2 linked regions of the Astyanax mexicanus genome follow. The protein of the gene in region 1 interacts with the protein of each later gene in a pairwise test. Links are inferred from orthologs where the notes say so. Each region holds a gene or a part of one and is shown in the gene's direction. Other genes may lie near its edges.

Region 1 (10,671 bases):
TAGCTAACATAGCTTGCTAGCAGGTTTTGTGAGGACCTGACAGACGCAGTGACAGCTCCATTAGCCGGTGTTCTGTCGAATTTTCCTACCCATCGATACATGCTTCCCAAAGGTACTGCGCATGCGCCGACCTACACAATTTAATTATTTCTCGAGTTTTATGTATAATTACTCGGGTTTAGGGGGGTTTATATGCATTAAACGACCTGGACGCACTATCATTGCACAAAAGTGTAAATGGAAACTAAAAATTACACTTATTATCATAAATAAATACAAAAGCAGTTTGTAATGAGCTATATTTACTATAGCTTTGCCATGGTACAATGAATTATGCAATCCAAATCTAATAACGTACATCTACTGGAATATCACTGGGTACATGCCCTAAAATAGTGCTTCTTTTGTATTTTTACAGTTAAATATACATTTGGGCAGCACGGTTCGACAAGGTAGCAGAATTCGACAGAACACCGGTGTTCTGTCGAGTTGTGCTGCCTTGCCAAACATTGCTATCCTAGTAGTATTTCATTTTTAAAATGTTAAAAATACAAAAAAGCACCATATTAGAAACCGTATTAGAAAATACTCTCAGACAAATTCTAGATAGGCTATGTAGATTGGCTAAATCGCTGTACAAAGTAAAGTTTAAAAAGTTAAGGTCATAACGTTACGTGATGAGAAACGTGCATTTTTCATTTTATTGTTTTATAGTTTATTATTATTATTAACGACTATTTACAGTGTTTTTATTATGCTAGCAGGTTGTTTAATGCTCCCAATAAAAATGTTAGGAATTATCATGAAAAACGTGGAAATATATATAAAAAAATGTTTGTTGGCGCATGCGCAGTGTCGTAAAGGAGCGACAGTAAGACAGTAAGAGAAAAAAAACTTCTACACAAAAAAACTGCTTTTTTATTTACAAAGGTTATTTTTGTTTGATATTAAAGTTTGTTTGGTAATCTGAAAATGAATATGACAAAAAAAAAGCAAAAATGAAAGAAATCTTTGTGGAGGCGAATCCTTTTTCACGGAACGCATTACTCATTTACTCAAGTGAATGAAAAAGTAGTTTAGACAGGATCTTAGTAGTTTAGTTGATATCCACTGTGTTACTGTCAATGGTATACATTACCTCAAATGACTGAAGTATCAAACGTGTAGTTTTTTTAATTTATTTTGATCTGGTATCGGAGGTATCGATATTTCAGTATCGGTCTGCAAATCATTAGTGTTAACACAGTTTCGGTTCGTATTTAAGTATTTTTCAGATATTTTATAACATTTAAATATCTTTGCTAGTGATGTTTAACCTTTGTGTACAGTTAATATGTTTTAATAGTCAAACAAGCACACATGCAGCTATACTAACCTAACTGGATAGCATGCAGTAGCATTAGTTTACAGGTTCAGGTAAATAGCAGGACATACACCATATAAACAACAAATTGGTACAATTGCTTAATCCTTGTTACTTTTGAAATCAAAGATATTAAAATTAGTTTATGCTAATTCTGTTTAAGAAACTGACTGCTATTCAGACAAGTCATTTCACTATGATTAGGATTACACTTATTTTGGAACACTGCAGTGAGAATTTGATTACATTATGTGTCAGAATGGTCAGTATGCAGGATGTTGGATGATTACCACCCTATCTGACTTCATCCCCAACTTTTCAACTCATCCTAAAAGTATTAAACAATACTGGAGGACTTTTACACTTTTATAACAATACATGTCTCCAAAAAGTCCTATTCTGTTGGCAGTACTTATTTAAAGAGACTAGACAAGCACCCCAATGGGTACAGCTTGAAGTAAATAGTATTCAAGATTCAAGAGATTCAAGATTCAAAGAGTTTATTGTCATATGTACAGTACAGAAACGGGTTTCAGTGTACAATGAAATTCTTTCTTTGCTCTTCGCCAAGAATGCCAAATAGAAGATAGAAAAAGTGCAAAAAAATACAATAAGGTTATAAATATTAAACTAATTGTCAAAGACATAAAAAAATAAAAGTTACTTAAGCAAAGAAATGTATAAAAAAAAGTGCAAGTGCGAAATAATGCAGTTATGGACATTAACTATATATATTAAAAAAAGATTAACAGTAAAGTGACGGCTGCAATGTAAACATGTTGAAGTAAAGTGAAGGGTTATTCCTGAGTTGTGTTCAAGAGTCTGATCGCAGGGTTATACCTGAGGTGTGTTTAGAGTCTGAAGGCAGGGTCATTCCTTAGGTGTGTTCAAGAGTCTGATGGCCGTGGGGAAGAAACTGTTCTTTAACCTGGTGGTCTTGCATTTTACACTTCTGTACCTCCGGCCTGAGGGCAGAAGTGTGAACAGTCCATGCTGGGGATGGGTGGAGTCTTTGAGGATGGATGCAGCTCTCCTGTGGACTCTGTGGTGGTAGATGCTCTGCAAGGAGGGCAGTGGAGTCCTGATGATCTTCTCGGCAGTCTTCACCACAGAATGCATTTAAAAAAAGATGGCAGTTTGGCATTTTATTTTCCATGACAGAGATTCTCCCCAATATATTATATATATATAGAGAGTTTCAGTACAAAATCAGGGTATTAAAAGTAGCACTGACAATATAGGTTTACATTGATTATCTTGCATGTGATGTATGTTTATTACAGGACCTGATTCCTGGTATTTCTGCTACATATTACCGGTGTGCTCTGTGTGATGGGATCCTCACTCATGTCGTGCAGATCTACTGCCCTCTTGCTGCGTCTCCATATCACCGCACCATTAATGTGTTTGCTTGCACTAATCCACAGTGTTATGGCAAGCCAGAAAGGTAAATTATCATTTTCATATTAATTAAGACACAGTTTACGCTGTTGCCCAATATTTATTCTGGTGGCTTCTTCTTGTGTCTAGCTGGAAAGTTCTGCGTTCGCAGTGCTTGGAGTCTGAAATGAAGGACATCAATAAAGATAATCAGCAGGTGAAACAAGCCCCGGTGTTCGCAACAGACTGGTGTGATGAGGCCGATGACTGGGGGATGGAAGCTGAGGACAGTGAAGCTGAGATCTGTCCACACACTAATCTAGACACAGCTCAGACAGTGACAGAGAGACAGCCGGACACACAAACAGCTGGACCAGTCGACAGTATTGGACTTGAGGGCCTCTGTTTAAATGGATCAGGGGACAGGGAATGTGCCGTAGCTCCTACTGCAGTACCCACTTTTCAGTCATTTTACATCAGTGTGGCGGAGGAGACAGACTTAGTGGGCCAGAACAATGTGGAACATGCTAACAAACTTTTGAAGGAATATCAGGAGAGGGAGGGAGTTGCTGTTGGAGAGCTTGAAAGGTGAGGACATTTTTTGAATGGCTTGCGAAAGCTAACAAGGCACCCCTGAAAAACAACTAATTTGATCTTATTTCCACTACATTTTAAAAGTTGACAGTTTTAAACTATAATGAATTCTAGTGATTTCAGAAGTGCATGCTAATTTATAAATAAACACAGCAGTGCTGACTGGTTGTTTTTGCCCCGCCTGTTCACAATTCACCTGTAGCGTGATCCTTGCCAATGAAACCAAAATGAGGAGCTAATTAGAAATGTTCTGTTGTTAAAAAAACAAAACAAACAAACATATGTTTTAAAGTTACCGCCGCGGCTGACTTTTGCCAATTCAAGTGTAGATATAATTTCAAACAGATGGAGCTAAATCACAAGTCAAGCAGGCTGCGGCACAGTAAAGTGTAGCTATTTAATTGTATTTAATTTAACAGATGAATTACAACTGTCATGTAAACAAAGTGAATGGTACAAATGAATATATATCATACTTTATGTATAAACTACTAGCAATGGATAGTCAGACTGAAATTTGATTGCTGTGTGGGATAGAATATGAAAAACCACTCATTACATAGTAACATTGCTTCAGCCTCTTTCTGTGCTATGCTAAAGACGGTTGCTAGCCTAAAATGTACCACTAATAGTTTTTCGCTTTTTTGTGCATTTTTGCATTAATCCGAACTTGGAGAAGGCACCAGTTTCGGCTGATTAACTCAACAATAACGTACTGCATGGGGAGTTTTGTTTTTGTTTTGGTTGTGTCTTGGAGAAAAGGATTTATTTATCACCTCCAGAAGGGTTTGCGCAATCGAATTTGAACCTCTTTTAAATGTGTCTTAGTTGCGTTAACACTTGCATTCTTAACTGAGGATCAATGATGGATCTTTACCTGAATGCATTTTTACATTTTACTAGGTTAATGTGAAGGAAATCTATGACATGATACTTTGTGTGTAAATACATTATCCTTAAAAAAAAACACAGGACAGGACAATAGTGCATGTTAAATTGGTTGCTTTAAAATAATAAATAATTAAGCACAAAGTATTTCAGTTTTATTGTCAGATTCTGCTTTTGTGTTATACTTTCAATTCTTTACATTTTTTCAAATAATAAATATTCAAATATATATTTTTTTCTCTTGAAATAAATTTTCCTCGTATTTTGAATTTTTATTCAGTTGTGAAGGAGAAGGAAGAGGGGAGAAGTATGAGAAGGCAGAACCCAAACACGGAGATGCCTTCTTCTCCAATTTCATGAAAAGAATATCTCTCTGTCCAGAACAAGTTCTTCGGTGAGTGGATTGCAAAGGAAACAGTAGCAAGTCCCTAGTAAACAATAACTAACTACAAGATTTATATCTGTATGAGCTGATTTTAATGTAAATACTTTGATGTTTTATTAATATATGCTCTGTTATAATATGTTGCAGATACAGTTGGAGAGGCTCACCTTTGTTTATATGTGAACGTCCTTCAAATATTCATCAGATGGAGCCACCCTGTGCACAGTGTGGCAGTCCTAGAGTTTTTGAATTTCAGCTCATGCCTGCACTCGTCAGTTTGCTTCGTAGTACAGATTTAAGTTCAGGTTTGTCTGACTTAGCTCTTGTTTTTTCAGTATATGTTAAATACAGAGACCATGCTGGTTGTATCCTGTGTCAAAAATTATGAGAGCTTTGCTACATTTACTTGTTTTCTTTAAAACAGAAGTAGATGATATGTGTATAGTTTATATAATTTTTTGTGGCCTTTAGACACTGCGATAATACAAATCATAAATTATTAATTTCTGTATTGATTCTGGTGTTTTCCTCCTTTGTACTTCTTCAGAGCTCGTTTTGGAGTTTGGGACAGTGATGGTCTACACCTGCAGAGAGAGCTGCTGGACTTCTGGATCGAACACACCTGTTGAGGAATTCCTTTTAGTACAAGCTGACCCTGATCAAAAGCTGTTCAAATGACATGATGTATAATAAAGAGCATACCAAAATATCATATTTCTTTTTTTTTTATTATAACTTAATGTAGGATTTAGTATGCATGCAGTATCATGCGGAAGTCAACCAACACTGCTTTATTCAGGCTATTTGACTTACTCTTTTGATGAGGACATATTTCTGAATTGTTTTGACAAAATCCATGGGATAAGCAGTGATTGGACTGTGGGCAGATGTTAAGTCAAGAGGCTTTTACATTTTTTACAGATTCCTCGATTTTCTTGTTTTGGGTACATGCTCCAGGGTAAGCAATGAATTTATTATCATTAACAGCGGTTTAATTATGTCTGGTAGTACGGGTTTTAGTAATTTTGTGGGAACTGTTTCGAGTGTGCAGGTTGTGCTGCTTGATGAGGAGATAATTTTCTCTATTTCTAGCTGCGGAAGTGAGTTAAAAACGTTTTGTTTTATATCAGCCATACATTCCACGCATATATCGAAGTATTGAATGTGAATAATTTCGACACCTTTGTCCCTGGCCTGTGTGAGAAATTGGCCCTGTATGGAGGGGGGTAGTTATGAGGCCTGCATGCGGTGCTGCAGTGCCCGGCTCCTCCTGGTTCTTCACGGGAGCGCAGTTGAGCTCAGAGACGAGACCCGAGTTCATGAGCAGACTTCATCTCTCGCGAGGAAGGACGCCATTATCGGAATCCCTACAAACAACACGAGAATTCATCCTTCTCACGGTAATATAACCCGCTCTGAAGCCCCGCCGCGCGCACAGTGCTGCGGGCAAGGCGGCGCCGGGCGCTTAATTCACGCGTTTTTCATTTTCATTTTTTATTGTTTTCTTTCGCGCCTCATTCATGTTTCAGCAGAGAGGGCTAGTAGGACTGCGGCTCCGGGCCTGGAGCCGTTTCCTCTCTCTGAGTCTTTCAATATTGTTGAACATTGGAGCAAGTTAGCAGGAGCTGGCTAAAGCTACCTAACGTTAGCTGTGTTTATCTTCGCGGGCAGAGAGCGGAGTGTAGCCCCAGACCTAGTAACTGTAGCTACCGGCGGGGACTAACCTACTTAACTAACTAACCAATTTTAGAGCATAAACACGGCTTTTATGGGTTAAAATACGCTGCTGTCGCTGACCAAATTAAATACTTACAACAGAACAATTTGTACTGAATGACCGTGGCTAACTGGCTAGCTAGTTAGTTAGCTTAGCATTTAGTTTAGCATAGGGAGAAATCCAGGTCCAGGAAGTAAAAATCCAGCCCGGGATTTTATTATTTTTTTAGAGTTGTCTAAGCAGCTGGAGCGAAGTCATGGACAGGATTTTTATTTTTTGGATTTTTATTTGTTAAACCACCACAAATGTTAAGCTATCATTTGCCTAGCTAACGTTGGTGTGTGACCTTCTTGGTTAACTGTAACTTATATAGACGAAATGCTTAATTCTGCCATAACAGCATTTGCATTTAACATAAGTAAACAATAAGTAACGATTTAATAAAATGGAGGTAATTAATAAACTAGTGTTTGTATCAGCTGATTGTAATCCACACCTTCTTCACACCCATCTTTCCCATAGTCTATCCTCCTCTGCCCATTCATCAGTCCACAGCTAGCTAATCTTGCTAATTAACTGTATTGCTATTAATTCACATTTTATTATTTAGTTTTAATGATTTTCTACTCAAATAAAAGTTTTTTTTCTACATACACGTTATCTGATTCTGGTGTGAATCATGTGACCTAATACGAATTTCATAAAGCATGCTTATGTAGAAACAAAAAAAATCCATATAAATCTAACGTTATTCACATTCACAAAATAACTAAAGACATTGTAAAAGCACTTCAAACAGAAACTTAGATAGGAACTTAAGCAAAATTGGTGCATCTCAGCCCTGGAGCACCCCCTGCCCCCCTCTCCTAGTAAACCTTATTCAACAAATCAGTTTTATTAATAAAAGGGTGTAGAATCCCCTTTCAAAATTGTTACGATATTTTTTAAAAACAGATTTGGACTGCTGTTTATGAAGATGCAAAAAGATTAAAAAAAGATTCACATTCGCAAAATATTTGCTTTGCATTTCAAAAGATTTATAACTACAAAAAAGCTTGCATCACTTTTACAATTTTATTTGAACCTATGCGAAGGTCAGAGAATTCTCACAAGGACTGTTGCATTTAACAGTCATTTGCAGCCAGTTACATTGTCCTTTCCCCACCAAAGCACTGTGGTTCAGGGCACTTAACAAAGAGGGTAAAAAATGGATTTGTTGAATTATAAAGTTTCATTTAAAGCTGGCAACATTGGTAAGAAAAGATAGCTAAAGTTAAATAAATAAAATATAAAACTTAAAGAGTAAAAATAGATAATACCACTGAAAAAAATATTTTAAGGTTTATCCCAATTAACAAACCTCAGAAAGCAAAACTAGCTCTCCACAGTGAGCTAAACTACACAGAAATACAGGGATGGGTAACTAACCTCTTGAGTAGTAAGCGTCTTTAAAAAAGGAAAACCACCAAATTAAAGAAGGCTAATATATTAGAAACTTTGCCCCATATATGTGAGGAAGTGCTGTTGTCAAGAGAAGGTGTCACAATATGCAAAGATTACACTATATTTTTTCCTGGAACATAACAAACGTCATATTTTGTTCAGAGGTAATAAGAAAAACAAATGAAAACCAAACATTTAAATACAATTCTAATTTTGTTAGAAGCCAGATAAAATAAATGTGAAATATATGTATTTTAGGGGTTTTATTTCTTACTTTTGTATTGTGCAGTGGAAATATTGTGGCATGTTTTACTGATTTGAAATAAATATGTTTGACATCTTTAAGTAGCCTAAATGTAACATTTCAATTCAGATTGTGTATTAACAATCTGACCAATGGTGTGTTGCTGCATGTAAAACATGTATGTGCTTCAAATGAGTTTATAAAAGCAAACACCAGACAGTTCATCAGTTGTTCCTTAACTGTAAATAGTCACACAAACCAAATTTCTTTGCTTTTTTAGGTGTGAATGATGTCCGAGCAGGATCTGGTGGAGATAGTCCAGATTGCTGTGGCAGATCTAAATCATGAGGAACATGATGCAGGTAAGAGAATTGTTTAACTGCCTCTGGTATTTAAATGTTCAAGATAGTCTGTAGGATTACATCGGTTTACAAGTCCTTAATACATGTGTCTTTAAACTTTGTTTTTAGGCTGTTTATTTTCCTTTGACCCTGCAGCCATATTCTCCTTTGCCCTTTTCTTTAAAAAAGTTTTATGAGGCCTGTTTATAAGGCCTGGTGCCTCTATATTTAGCCACTAAAAACCTCCCTCACTGCTCTTATGAATTTTCCCTTCTCCTAGTGCATGTACTGTATATATACTTACTTTTTGACATAATAGCAAATGCCCTAAACTTTAGTATTTTTTAGTATTCTGTGTTTTATAGTTTTTCAACACTGTGGCAGCTGTTTACTATGTGTTGTTTAACATTGCTGTATGTGTATTGGATTAGATGTGTTGGAAAACCATGAAGAGGCTGACAAACCTGAGCGAAAACGAGCGAGGATGGAAAGTAGTAATCAAGATGCAACTCTAAAGGTGAGAACAGCACTTGAGTTTCACTGCTTATTACTACACCATTACTGTGTTCTGTGATTAATTGATGAATGAAAACTTAAACAAGAAGGTAATGTCATGTTTAGATTTGTTTGGTAATTGATTTACATAATTTTCTGTCTGTCATTGCCTCTCTTTAGACAATGCTCGTGTCTATTAGTCAGGCCATCTGCCAAAGGCTGGATAGCATGGAGACCAAGCTCCAGGTGCTGGAGGCTACATGTCGGGCCCTAGAAGAGAAGCTTGACACAGTAATGGGCAAAAACCAGGGACCTATCCGTGTCCCCATGGTGGCTGGATCTCCTTTTGGTGCAACACAAACCTGTGACAAGGTTCGCTGGTGAGTTTGTAGTGGACTTGGTTCACCAGCAAAATGAAAAACAAGTTTCTCATGGTTTTCCTTGCCATTAATGTTTTCTGAGTCAAAAAGGTTCACATTTACCAACTGACTCACTCAGTTTCATGTTGAGCTGGGACTAATTATCACTTTCTCATTTACTTGTTCCATATTGTTGCGTGTTCTCAGTATGGTGCCCCAGACCAATGTGGTAGTGAGTGGTGAGCGTGCTAAAGCAAGCCAGGAGGAGGCACTCCCACGCACAACAGACTCTCTGGAGAACTTACTCAGCAAGTAGGTCTCAAACATCTTTCAGTTCTTTAAATAGTTTCAGTCGAATGTAAATATTCACCAATAAATCTATTAGTGATTTGTTTATTAAAGGTGCCCTTCTGTTTTAAAAGTTTACAACCCACGCCAGTTACACAGAGCTGTGAAACAGGCCAGTTCAAACTAACTCATGATTGTTAGGTAACAGTCCTGGATTAAACATATTTACCATACTGTAGGAGTTTTACCCATCAAAAAAAAACCCACCAGTCAATTTGACTGGGCTACAGTACATTTGGTTTGTTTAGATTTAAAATGGCATAATATATTTTCTTGAGGGCCATGGAACGTTTTGTGGTGGGTTAAGTGAGCCACGAATTGCAAAACGTTGGGAGCCCCTAATGTAAACCATCCAGTAAAAGAGAATTTAATCAATTTTTTCATGAGCTTTCCAAAAAAAGAGAAACAGACATTTCATTCTGAGACAAAATGACAGGGTTTTAAATGGGCTTGTAAACCACATCTATACGTTTTTGTCTTTAGTGACATGATTTCTATTTAAACATCAAAGAATGAAATTTATTCTATGTAATAGTATTAATATTCAGTAAATGCATTCTTAGGCACCTTTAATATCTAGTAAGCTTTTCTGAGAATGGTTTTAGACTTTAACAGTAAATATAAATACGCAGTAAGACCTATAATTAAAAGACGTTCATTTACTATCCAGCTATATTTCCAGATTTTGTGGTGTCAGAATTTATGTAACAGATGCAATATTTATTTCTGATTTTGCCCAGAGCTCTTGACTTACCCAGACTTCAACCTGTTGAGTCTGGAGCCAAAATGTCCAATGCTAGTGACTTTGAGCCATTAACAGTTGACTGTTTGGCTGGCAGCACGGTAGGCAGAGGAAGACAAAAAACGATTGTTCTGAAGGTTCCGGCACCAGAAGAGAGCCAAGAGGAGCAAGACAGTGGCTCTGAGGCCAGTGACTCCATGTCCAACAGTGGCCAAGCGTCAGCACAGGGCACCAACAATGTCACACTCATCACTCTCAACTCAGAAGGTGAGAAAGAGCTACAAATGCTTAAAATAAGGGTTTATGAGGAAAGAAATGAAATAAAATGTAAAATTAAGAGTAAAATGTGACAAAAAAAATCATGTAAGAAAA
Region 2 (10,322 bases), on another chromosome or scaffold:
ACTGTGATCTTCTGAATTGGAACAGTACTTGGGCTGCAACTGATGACGTTTCCCCGAGTCCACAACAACACAAGTACAGACAAGAATGCAGATTGAGAAACGGCCTATATCTCTCTCCTTTGACGTCACGAAAATCTCTGGTAATCTCCATCTCCGGTAAAAACAGCACAAATCTTTCAGCTTCTACAAACAAGAAACCCACAGATCTCCTTGCAGAGATCAGCGTTTAAATGCTAATGATATTTCATGAGCCAATGGTGTGTTTAACTCGACTGTGCACTGAAACACACCACTGCTGTTCCGTAACGTTAACGTTTCTGATACAGATTCACTCACTCATTAATATAAGAATTTATTTTATTTATAGTCACATACCTACAACAATAATATACATTAAATCATATATAAATATATTTCACATTCAAACATTAATATTACACAAGGGGTTAATAAATGTTTCATTTTGTATAAGTGTGTAGTTAATCATTCAAGGGAACTGATGAAAAAGCATTTACATTTTTACACCCTTTACATTTTATTCAACTAAGTTTTAGTTGAATACATTCTTATGATATTTAGTCGACTAAAACTAAAAACATTTCAGATGACTAAATTATGACTAAAACTAAATGCTATTTTCTTCACAAGACTATGACTAAAACTAAATCAAAATTTGTTGTCAAAATGAACACTGGTATGATACGATACGGCACACCACTGTTCTCTATATAGCATACTAAAGCCAGAAACACTCGTGTAAAAAATGTGTTGTGTTCCAGGGACCAATTGACTTTCACCTTCCACCTCATCTTCTTCATGGCCCCATCCATCACCCTGATGCCATGACGCCTGCGTAAGCTACAGCCCAGAAATTACAAATCCTCTTTTTTACCACAAAACTCCAATAGTGCTCTCAATTATCCACTTACTTGGAAACCTCAGGGAAAGCAAAACCACACTAGGTGAGCGGTGACCTCACACAGCAGGATTTTCACCACTCGCCCTGCGCACCCGTACGACTCTGAGGGAGATTTCGCAACAACAAACACGTCCAGCATGTGAACTAATTAATCTTCCCAAACACCAGCCCGTGGGCATCGCGGCTGTTTTCATTCGCGCAGGTTATTTAAAGAAAAACAGCGGATCGAGTGGGAAGGAAACGGCTGTCTAGACGCCGGTCCAGGCCAGCCGTACATTTTCCAGCAGCCCCCCTCTCAACCTGCGGCTCTCCCTGACTTTCTCTTCCTCCTTCCATTACTCCCTCCATCCCTCCTTCCATCGTTCTTACGGTGTCCTCCTCTCCACCCCTCCACCTTACGCAGTGGCCACAGGTTGACAGTGTAAACATGCCAGGTGACTAGGAAACGATGGGAGCCCCTGAGCAGAGCAGGTCTCCATGCACGAATGGTCCTCTTTCACACGCCCCGCCGTCGTCTGCTCATTCTCCAACGCAACACGCGCACACTCAGCTAATCAATCACCCGGGCAGCCAGGGCTCACGGCCAACTGCCCGGTCTAGGGCCTCCCCCTTGGGCTAGTAAGTGCATAGCCATTTCAATACAGTACCAAGACATTGACATATTATTTATTAGGGGTGAAACGATTAATTCGAGTTACTCGATTAAAAAAAATTGATAGATTAATTTTTTGTGCCTCAAGTAATTGTTTAATCAATCTTAAAACGCATGTATTTATGTCTATTTTGTGTTTTACTTATTTCTATTTGTCTTTGCAATGTGGCAATGTGGAAATGTATGTTGTGAATTAAAAAATTAAACCAACTGGTCATTCATTATTAAGGGAAATTTCTTATTTTATGAAATCTCTTATTTTATGTTTTGTCTGATTACTCGATTAATCGAATCAATTTTTCAGTAGAGTACTCGATTGCTAAAATAACCGATAGCTGCAGCCCTACTATTTATTATTATAAGTGTTTGCAACTGTTGAACACATCTAAACTCTCTCTATAACCTGTTAAACATCTTTTAATATGCTATAAATTATTCAACCATTCATTGATTAATGATCAAAAGCTTCTAAATGAGTTTCACCAGATTTGACCAAACATAGAAGAGTGGAGAGGTCTGTTTCTTCTCCAGAACCCAGCTTAAAAAAATAAAAATAAAATAATAATAATAATAATAATAATACTAATAATATTAGTATTAGTATTTTATATTATATATATATATATATATATATATATATATATATATATATATATATATATATATATATATATATAAATAATAGTCTTTGTGATGTATCAAGAGCCACGGTATCCAGGGTAATGTCAGCATACCACCAAGAAGGACCAACCACATCCAACAGGATTAACTGTGGATGCAAGAGGAAGCTGTCTGAAAGGGATGTTCGGGTGCTAACCTAGATTGTATCCAAAAAAAATAAAACCACGGCTGCCCAAATCACGGCAGAATTCAATGTGCACCTCAACTCTCCTGTTTCCACCAGAACTGAATATATATATATATATATATATATATATATATATATATATATATATATATATATATATATATTCATATTCATATATATATATATATATATATAGCTATAAAAAAATAAACACAACTGCAACGACCAATCACAGGCGTGGTCACGTAGTGTCTTCGGTCGTGAAGTTCGCCCAGCTTACTGCTGTGAATTGGCAGTAAATTACACTTAATCTTAATAACAACCCAATAAATGTGGATAACTGGTAAACCCTGTTGATGTAGAGGTACTCACTCTGTGATTTTGGGGTCGATATTGCCGATCCACAGGCGATGGCCTTCCTGCGAGGAGCCGCTCGAAAGGATGGAGGCATTCTCCACTGTCTCTGCAGCTGACTGCATCGGGTTCCTGGATTAAGCCAAGAAGAAATACAGACAATTGGTTATCTAGTCCTCCTAGCACACCTGATCCAACAACTGCGTTAATAATCAAGTCTTTCCTAAGGTAAAACAGCTGTATTACAACAAGAAAACACACAAATGTGGAGGGCACAGAGAAATTAGTAGAGCTTAGATCACGCACAAAAAATCCAGCCCGACATGACCCGAGCCTGTTAACGTCCTGCCCAAACCCAACCCGACCCACAAAACTGTTTTTGTGAGCCCAAATTCGATTTATACAATACATGTAAGTAGAGCTTTAAGACTGAGCTTCTTAAAAACATTTTCTGACAGTTTAAATAATGTTCTGAATATGTTCAGAATTATGTTAATTAATATTGCACCACTGAAGAAGCATAGGCCTTTTATTTAAGAACAATGTTGATTAAGAACCTCCCGTCTACTCTAATATAATTAACAATTTCTAAGAATATAAAACACTTTCTGAACAAACCACTTTTTTTAAGTTAAAAATATAGCATTAGTGCAAAAAAAAAAACAAGGCACACTCAATAAACCTAAATAGACCCAGAACAATAACATAATTCGCAATGACTTTTGTCTACTCTAATATAATTTACAATGATTAAGAATATAAAACTTTCTGAACATTTTTATTTTATTTTATGCATATAGTCTACATGCAAAACACATAAAACAACAATGAAGATATGCGCAGACAAGAAGAGAAGCTGAAGTGTTCCAGTTCCAGAGCTGTGTAATTACAACATTCTAACTTTTTTATTTATTTTTTTTATTTGAAACACAGTTTGATTTGTTACTTTGCTATATTGTGATTATTACACCAGAGCTTTACATACAATAAAATAGCATTAAAATGGGGCACAGAGTCTAAGCTCAAGAGTTTAATGACCAAGGTTAAAATCTGCAACCTAAAAGATGAATTTGAAAGACAACAGAAATGGTCCACTGGTCTGTGCCATGAACTGCATGCCAGCTTTAATATTGTGTTAGACTTAGAAAACCCTTTTATTCTCCAAACACAAACCACTGAATTGAGACTTTTTTAAAAACATGTGTGTAACTGGAGTACTCTGGGATCATGGCTAGAACTCTGTATCCTAAAGGATGGGTTTAGAACCAGTAATAACTGAAATAGTTTTGTAGTCTATTCAATCACTATGCCATGAACCACATGCCAACTTTAACACATTATTAGACACAGAATACCCTTTCTTCTCTACAAAGAACGGCACTGAATTGACAGGCTTTAATGCAAACATGTGTAATGGAACTACTCTATGACCAGGGTTGAAATCTGCCTTAACAAGATTTTACCCTGCAACCAACTATATAGGTATATAAGAATATCAGTATCAATATTGTATCACATCTCAATATTTTGTTTTGCAATACTGTATTGATTTCCAAAACACAATCCATTGTACTGATTTTTAATTATTAGTTTATACGTAAAGGTTGATGTGACACAGTGGTTTATTTGCCCACTAGAAAGAGGTGGTGTTTTCTGTTGTCATGACACTTTTCTGATACAATAAAAAGTACAATTTTCTGTCGTTCATATTTTAGAAATATGAGGGTGTTTTTATCCTATTAAAGGTTTTTTTTTTATTATTCAATTCTAACAACTGATATATTATTTTGCTTTCAGTATTGCAATATATTGCAAATATTGACAATATATAGAATAGTAACCCATTATATATATAACACATATATAACACATTATATATCATAGGCTATACACGCATAGGCTATCCAAATATGTGCAAGGGAAATTGTTCCAGTATCATTAAAGGATGGGTTTAGGACTATTAATAAATGAAATGGTCAAATGAACTGTCCAAACAGTACAAATTCTTGTTATGAACAACATTAACACAGAACAATGACAGACAACCAGTCAGACAGACAGACAGACAGAAAAGGTGAAAGAGTGATAGAAAAATAATTAACTAGTAATTAACTTATCATGAACGATGCAGACAGACAGATAGACAAATAGATAAAGAAATAACATAGGTATAGCGAGAAAGGATAAACTAGTAAAGTGAATTAACTAACATCATAGCGAATTAACTCACATCATAGACAGACAGACAGACAGACAGACAGACAGACAGACAGACAGACAGACAGACAGACAGATAGATAGATAGATATTAACCCATATGATGTATAATGTAGTTAGCTAGCATTAGCTGTTTACAGGGATAGTTAGCCGGTTAGCTTAGCTTCCCGCTGTGTGCTGGTTGATGTTATTACCGCATTTCTGTTTTTATACTCACCGTAAACTCGCTTTCAGCCGCTTTAAAACCTTCCTATAAACCGCAGCGGAGTCTTGGTGTGTTAATCCCGCCCCATGCCGCTGTTTCCCCGCTGAATCTGAGGTTTATCCGCCCGCGGACTCGCTGCTGTATCAGTCGGTTAGCTCGATTAGCTTTAGCGCTAGCTAGCGGCTCTTAAAGGAACACACAAAGCGGTGACGTTTGATGCGCAGCGCGGTGACGAAGCGCCCAGTAACCGGTGACGTTCTGCACGCGGTGTCCTTCAGTAGACCCGTGTGCTGAATTAAAGTGCATGCTGAGATAAACCTGCGCTGTGAGAGAGTTCAGTAAGTACTCACAGCTCTATTCTGCTCTATTTCTCTTACAGAGCTTCTCTAAAAACAGCTCTTTATTATTATAGCGGTCACTGCTTCAGTGCGCTGTTTAACCTGCAGTATAGGGCTTGTTAGCTGAGCTAGTTAGCTACCTAGCTAACCTAGAGCTGTCAACATTCACACAGATGCATGCTGCTATCTACGGAGCCTCTAAGGGGACACAATGTTTGAAAACAATAATGGGTGGCCACAAAGGTGTGAAAAACATGATCCTAATGCATGGGAATGAGATAATTAAGGCATGTATGTGAATGAGACGATGAAGTTGTAACTTATTAAGATGTGGGAACGAGATCCTAATGCATGGGAATGAAATAACGAAGACCAAGACGTGGGAGCGGGATAATCAAGTCATAGCCAGAGAATAATAAAGCTTGCATTTCTTTAAATTAATCAGCATAAAGAAACTGAATATAACATCAAAGCTCCTTTTATCCTAGAATATTATTTAGTAAGAAAACAGAGTAAACTGGTTTATTTTTATTTTTGTCTCTGAATGAATTATGGTGATATTTTGGAGTATCCTGCAGTGAGACGGGGTATAATTCTAAGTAAAAGACACTTAATTCTCATACTAAAAGCTGATTGGCTCAAACCCTGAGAGCTGCTCGCTTTGTTAGCTGTGGAACAAAAGGAACTTGTGGTCACACCTTAATGACTACAATTTAATTAACTCATTCCTATGCCTTAATTATCTGCTTTTGACGCATTAACGTAAAATATCTTGTTTCCGTGCCTTAGGACCTCATTTCCATGCCTTCAGAAGTGGCCATGCATTATTTTTTTAACATGATGTCACCTTTCTTGCTCCTTAATCAGCTGTATAAGCTGATATTGGGTTTAAAGTGAGTATTGGCACTGTCTATGTGTTTATTGCATAGACTGTGTATAGCTGGACAGAGCATCCTCTCTCTAAAGTAAAGCCACCACAGGTCAGGCGCCCCCTGCTGTTTGGTTTCAGAAAGCTGCGTAACCCCACCCATCCCTATAGGTTTTAATTGCAAAACAGACAACTTTCAATCACGTTTTTTTCTAATATACTGTAACTCTACCTCCTTTATTTCAATGCAACAGCTAGTGTAACCTCTGCTTATATTATGAAAATGGTATATACAGTTGTGGTCAAAAGTTTACATACACTTGTAAAAAAACATAATGTTATGGCTGTCTTGAGTTTTCAATAAGTTCTACAACTCTTATTTTTCTGTGATAGAGTGATCGGAACACATACATGTTTGTCACAAAAAACAGTCATGAAATTTGGTTCTTTCATAAATTTATTATGGGTCTGCTGAAAATGTCACCAAATCTGCTGGGTCAAAAATATACATACAGCAACAAAATTTGTCAATTTTGGTGATGTAGCGAGTTGTGTCAATCAAATTAGCTTCATGTCATGGCCTCTTCACTTCTTGTAAGTGATTCTGATTGACTACAGCTGTTGACTTCTCATGAGCCCATTTAAATAGGGCTCATTTGACCCAGTGATTAGACTCAGCTACAAAAGCTACAATGGGAAAGTCAAAGGAACTCAGTGTGGATCTGAAAAAGCGAATTATTGACTTGAACAAGTCAGGGAAGTCACTTGGAGCCATTTCAAAGCAGCTACAGGTCCCAAGAGCAACTGTGCAGACAATTATACGCAAGTATAAAGTGCATGGAACAGTTGTGTCACTGCCACGATCAGGAAGAAAACGCAAGCTATCACATGCTGCCGAGAGGAGATTGGTCAGGATGGTCAAGAGTCAACCAAGAATCACCAAGAAGCAGGTCTGCAAGGATTTGGAAGCTGATGGAACACAGGTGTCAGTCTCCACAGTCAAGCGTGTTTTACATCGCCATGGACTGAGAGGCTGCCGTGCAAGAAAGAAGCCCTTGCTCCAGAAAAGGCACCTTAAGACTCGGCTGAAGTTTGCTGCTGATCACATGGACAAAGATAAAACCTTCTGGAGGAAAGTTCTCTGGTCAGACGAAACAAAAATTGAGCTGTTTGGCCACAACACCCAGCAATATGTTTGGAGGAGAAAAGGTGAGGCCTTTAATCCCAGGAACACCATGCCTACTGTCAAGCATGGTGGTGGTAGTATTATGCTCTGGGGATGTTTTGCTGCCAGTGGAACTGGTTCTTTGCAGAAAGTAAATGGGATAATGAAGAAGGAGGATTACCTCCAAATTCTGCAGGAAAACTTAAAACCATCAGCCCGAAGGTTGGGTCTTGGGCGCAGTTGGGTGTTCCAACAAGACAATGACCCAAAACACACATCAAAAGTGGTAAAGGAATGGCTAAACCAGGCTAGAATTAAGGTTTTAGAATGGCCTTCCCAAAGTCCTGACTTAAACCCCATTGAGAACATGTGGACAGTGCTAAAGAAACGGGTTCATGCAAGAAAACCATCACATTTAGCTGAACTGCACCAATTCTGTCAAGAAGAGTGGTCAAACATTCGACCTGAAGCTTGCCAGGAGCTTGTGGATGGCTACCAAAAGCGCCTAGTTGCCGTGAAAATGGCCAAGGGACATGTAACCAAATACTAATGTTGCTGTATGTATATTTTTGACCCAGCAGATTTGGTGACATTTTCAGCAGACCCATAATAAATTTATGAAAGAACCAAATTTTATGACTGTTTTTTGTGACAAACATGTATGTGTTCCGATCACTCTATCACAGAAAAATAAGAGTTGTAGAACTTATTGAAAACTCAAGACAGCCATAACATTATGTTTTTTTACAAGTGTATGTAAACTTTTGACCACAACTGTACCCACAGAATTTGTTTTTTAAAATGTTATTCAGCTCTATTCAAAAAAGGTGTGGTTATTGTAAAAGGGCTGGTTATGGGCGGGACCAATAACAGACTGTCAGCTCCACTCCGCTACACTCTGCAGCCTGTGACCTCGAGGCAGCCCTCAGGGGCGGGGTTATTTAAATGAGTAGGCTATCTCTACAGTCTTTCTCCCTCCTCTGGTCTCTACTGCGCAGACTCGGGTTTCAGGATCGCCAACATGGCAGAAGATTTTGGCTTCATTTTCACTGAATGAATGGGAACGGCGACATGGCGTCCATCTTTTTTTACAGTCTCTGGTTTATTGTGAATTTACAGGGTTGTGCATGCTTACACTTAAGATCAAGCTTCAGAAGAGCTTTCCTACATTTTTATACTTGATTCATGCTATTGTCATAAGTTCTACATAGTCCTACTATTAATTGAAATTGAACAGAACCATTCTTAATGGAGAAATACGGTGTAAAATTGACTTGGCTTGTAGTGAAACATTTTACACAAACTCTAGTTGAATACTCCACCTCCAGAAGAAAGTCGTCACTGGTGTACTACGTAAAAGGTGTCAAACAGGTAGACCAAAAACAGCAGCTGATGACAGAAACATTGTGTGTTCAAAGAAAGCATGTAAAAATCATCACAAAAGAGAAAAGTGAAATTGGTTTATACAATATGTTGATCAGTTGATCTTTTTAAATATGAATATATTTTCAGCTCTACAGCAGAAATAAAGAGATTGGCCTCACTGTTCCAATATTTTGGAGGGGAGTGTATATTACCTCCATCTCTCAATATTGTTCACATAATGATCAAATGTCATTGTTTAAACATGTTTTAAACCCCAATTTTCATGGAATGTCCTATTTTTACACATGACTGGAGATGCTTAATCTCAGTTGGATGTGATTTAAAGAAAAGTGTGGGCATACTACTGCTACACGTAATGTCTCAGTATCATTTTTGAATATAGTGAACTATATTATAGCCTGAAATATCACCCACCCCTAATTATCAAGTCAGGGTACAATTTTTTTTTTTTTTTTTTTTTTTTTTTTTACAGTTTTTAGCAAAAGAAAAAAATACACTGTTCTCATTTCCCATTATATATCTACCAGAGACAGATTATATCTGTCCAGTATAATTTACTTTGTTACAGTAGTGTATTCTTGATTTTTTTTTTTTATTAATTCAGTGTTTTGCCATATCGGCAAGAGTATCGTTATTGTGAAAATACCATAAAATATTGTGTTGTATTTTGGTGATATGTCCATTCTGGATCATTGACTTCTGTTACAAATCTGATAAAATTCTTGTATTTTTTAACATCTCAGTTAGGAGTGTGAAATAAATAAAATTGAATTTTCATTTTTGCAGTGCATTAGTGTATTCTTGATTTTATTATAATTTTTTTTTATTCAGTGTTTTGTCATATTGGCAAGAGTATCTTTATTGCAAAAATACTATGAAATATTGTGATACTATTTTATGGCCAAATATCACCCATCCCTATTCACAGCCACTAATACTAATGTGATGTTTTACAGTCCCTGCTAACTCTTCTTTCATGAGCCCGTCTCACACAGTCGAGCGCTGGAGAAATCAGGCCGTCAGGTCTGAGACCACCTGTGCAGCAGTTTTTCCGCTTCACCTGCGCTCTAAAAGCTGCCATCATCCCCTGCTCTGTCTTCTCCTCTTGTCCTGCTCTGATGGTTAGAGTAGCTTTTCAGGTTTGATCTGTTTTTAACCAGAACAGCTGCTGCTTTCATCCGAGCTGCCGCACGCCGTCATCCAGGCCTGATAAAAATCGCTTGTTTTGGGGGCGGCAGTGGCAGCGCCTGCTTTTAGCCCCCGTGCCGTCTGACCGTCACTGACACGGCGGAGCACGGCAACTGTGAAAACACACGAGGGCCTGACCCGTCTCACTGCCTGTCACTCTCAGACAATAAGCGGAGGGTTATTTTGACTAGAGGGATACCTCACACATACACACAGCGAGCG

Evidence for each region. The genes of interacting proteins can lie anywhere in the genome.
Region 2: the proteins of protein BANP (region 1) and mrrf interact in binary tests that used the Homo sapiens proteins (3 or more experiments, as listed by UniProt). The two-hybrid records come from large-scale screens. The link is inferred for Astyanax mexicanus from reciprocal best matches to the Homo sapiens genes BANP and MRRF.

Annotation. Positions count from the first base shown.
Region 1 is NC_064409.1:62,587,812-62,598,482, reverse strand, and holds the start of protein BANP, read left to right. Parts: upstream 1-5,802; 5' UTR 5,803-6,010; intron 6,011-8,294; 5' UTR 8,295-8,300; coding exon 8,301-8,376; intron 8,377-8,786; coding exon 8,787-8,872; intron 8,873-9,030; coding exon 9,031-9,230; intron 9,231-9,416; coding exon 9,417-9,521; intron 9,522-10,297; coding exon 10,298-10,566; intron 10,567-10,671. Other genes in the region: pdcd2l (programmed cell death protein 2-like), read left to right, coding at 2,647-2,810, 2,894-3,331, 4,506-4,619, 4,758-4,915, 5,158-5,288. UniProt on the Homo sapiens protein: Controls V(D)J recombination during T-cell development by repressing T-cell receptor (TCR) beta enhancer function. Binds to scaffold/matrix attachment region beta (S/MARbeta), an ATC-rich DNA sequence located upstream of the TCR beta enhancer.
Region 2 is NC_064427.1:16,584,137-16,594,458, forward strand, and holds the start of mrrf (ribosome-recycling factor, mitochondrial), read left to right. Parts: upstream 1-5,396; 5' UTR 5,397-5,493; intron 5,494-10,322. Other genes in the region: rbm18 (probable RNA-binding protein 18), read right to left, coding at 2,752-2,858. UniProt on the Homo sapiens protein: Responsible for the disassembly of ribosomes from messenger RNA at the termination of mitochondrial protein biosynthesis. Acts in collaboration with GFM2. Promotes mitochondrial ribosome recycling by dissolution of intersubunit contacts.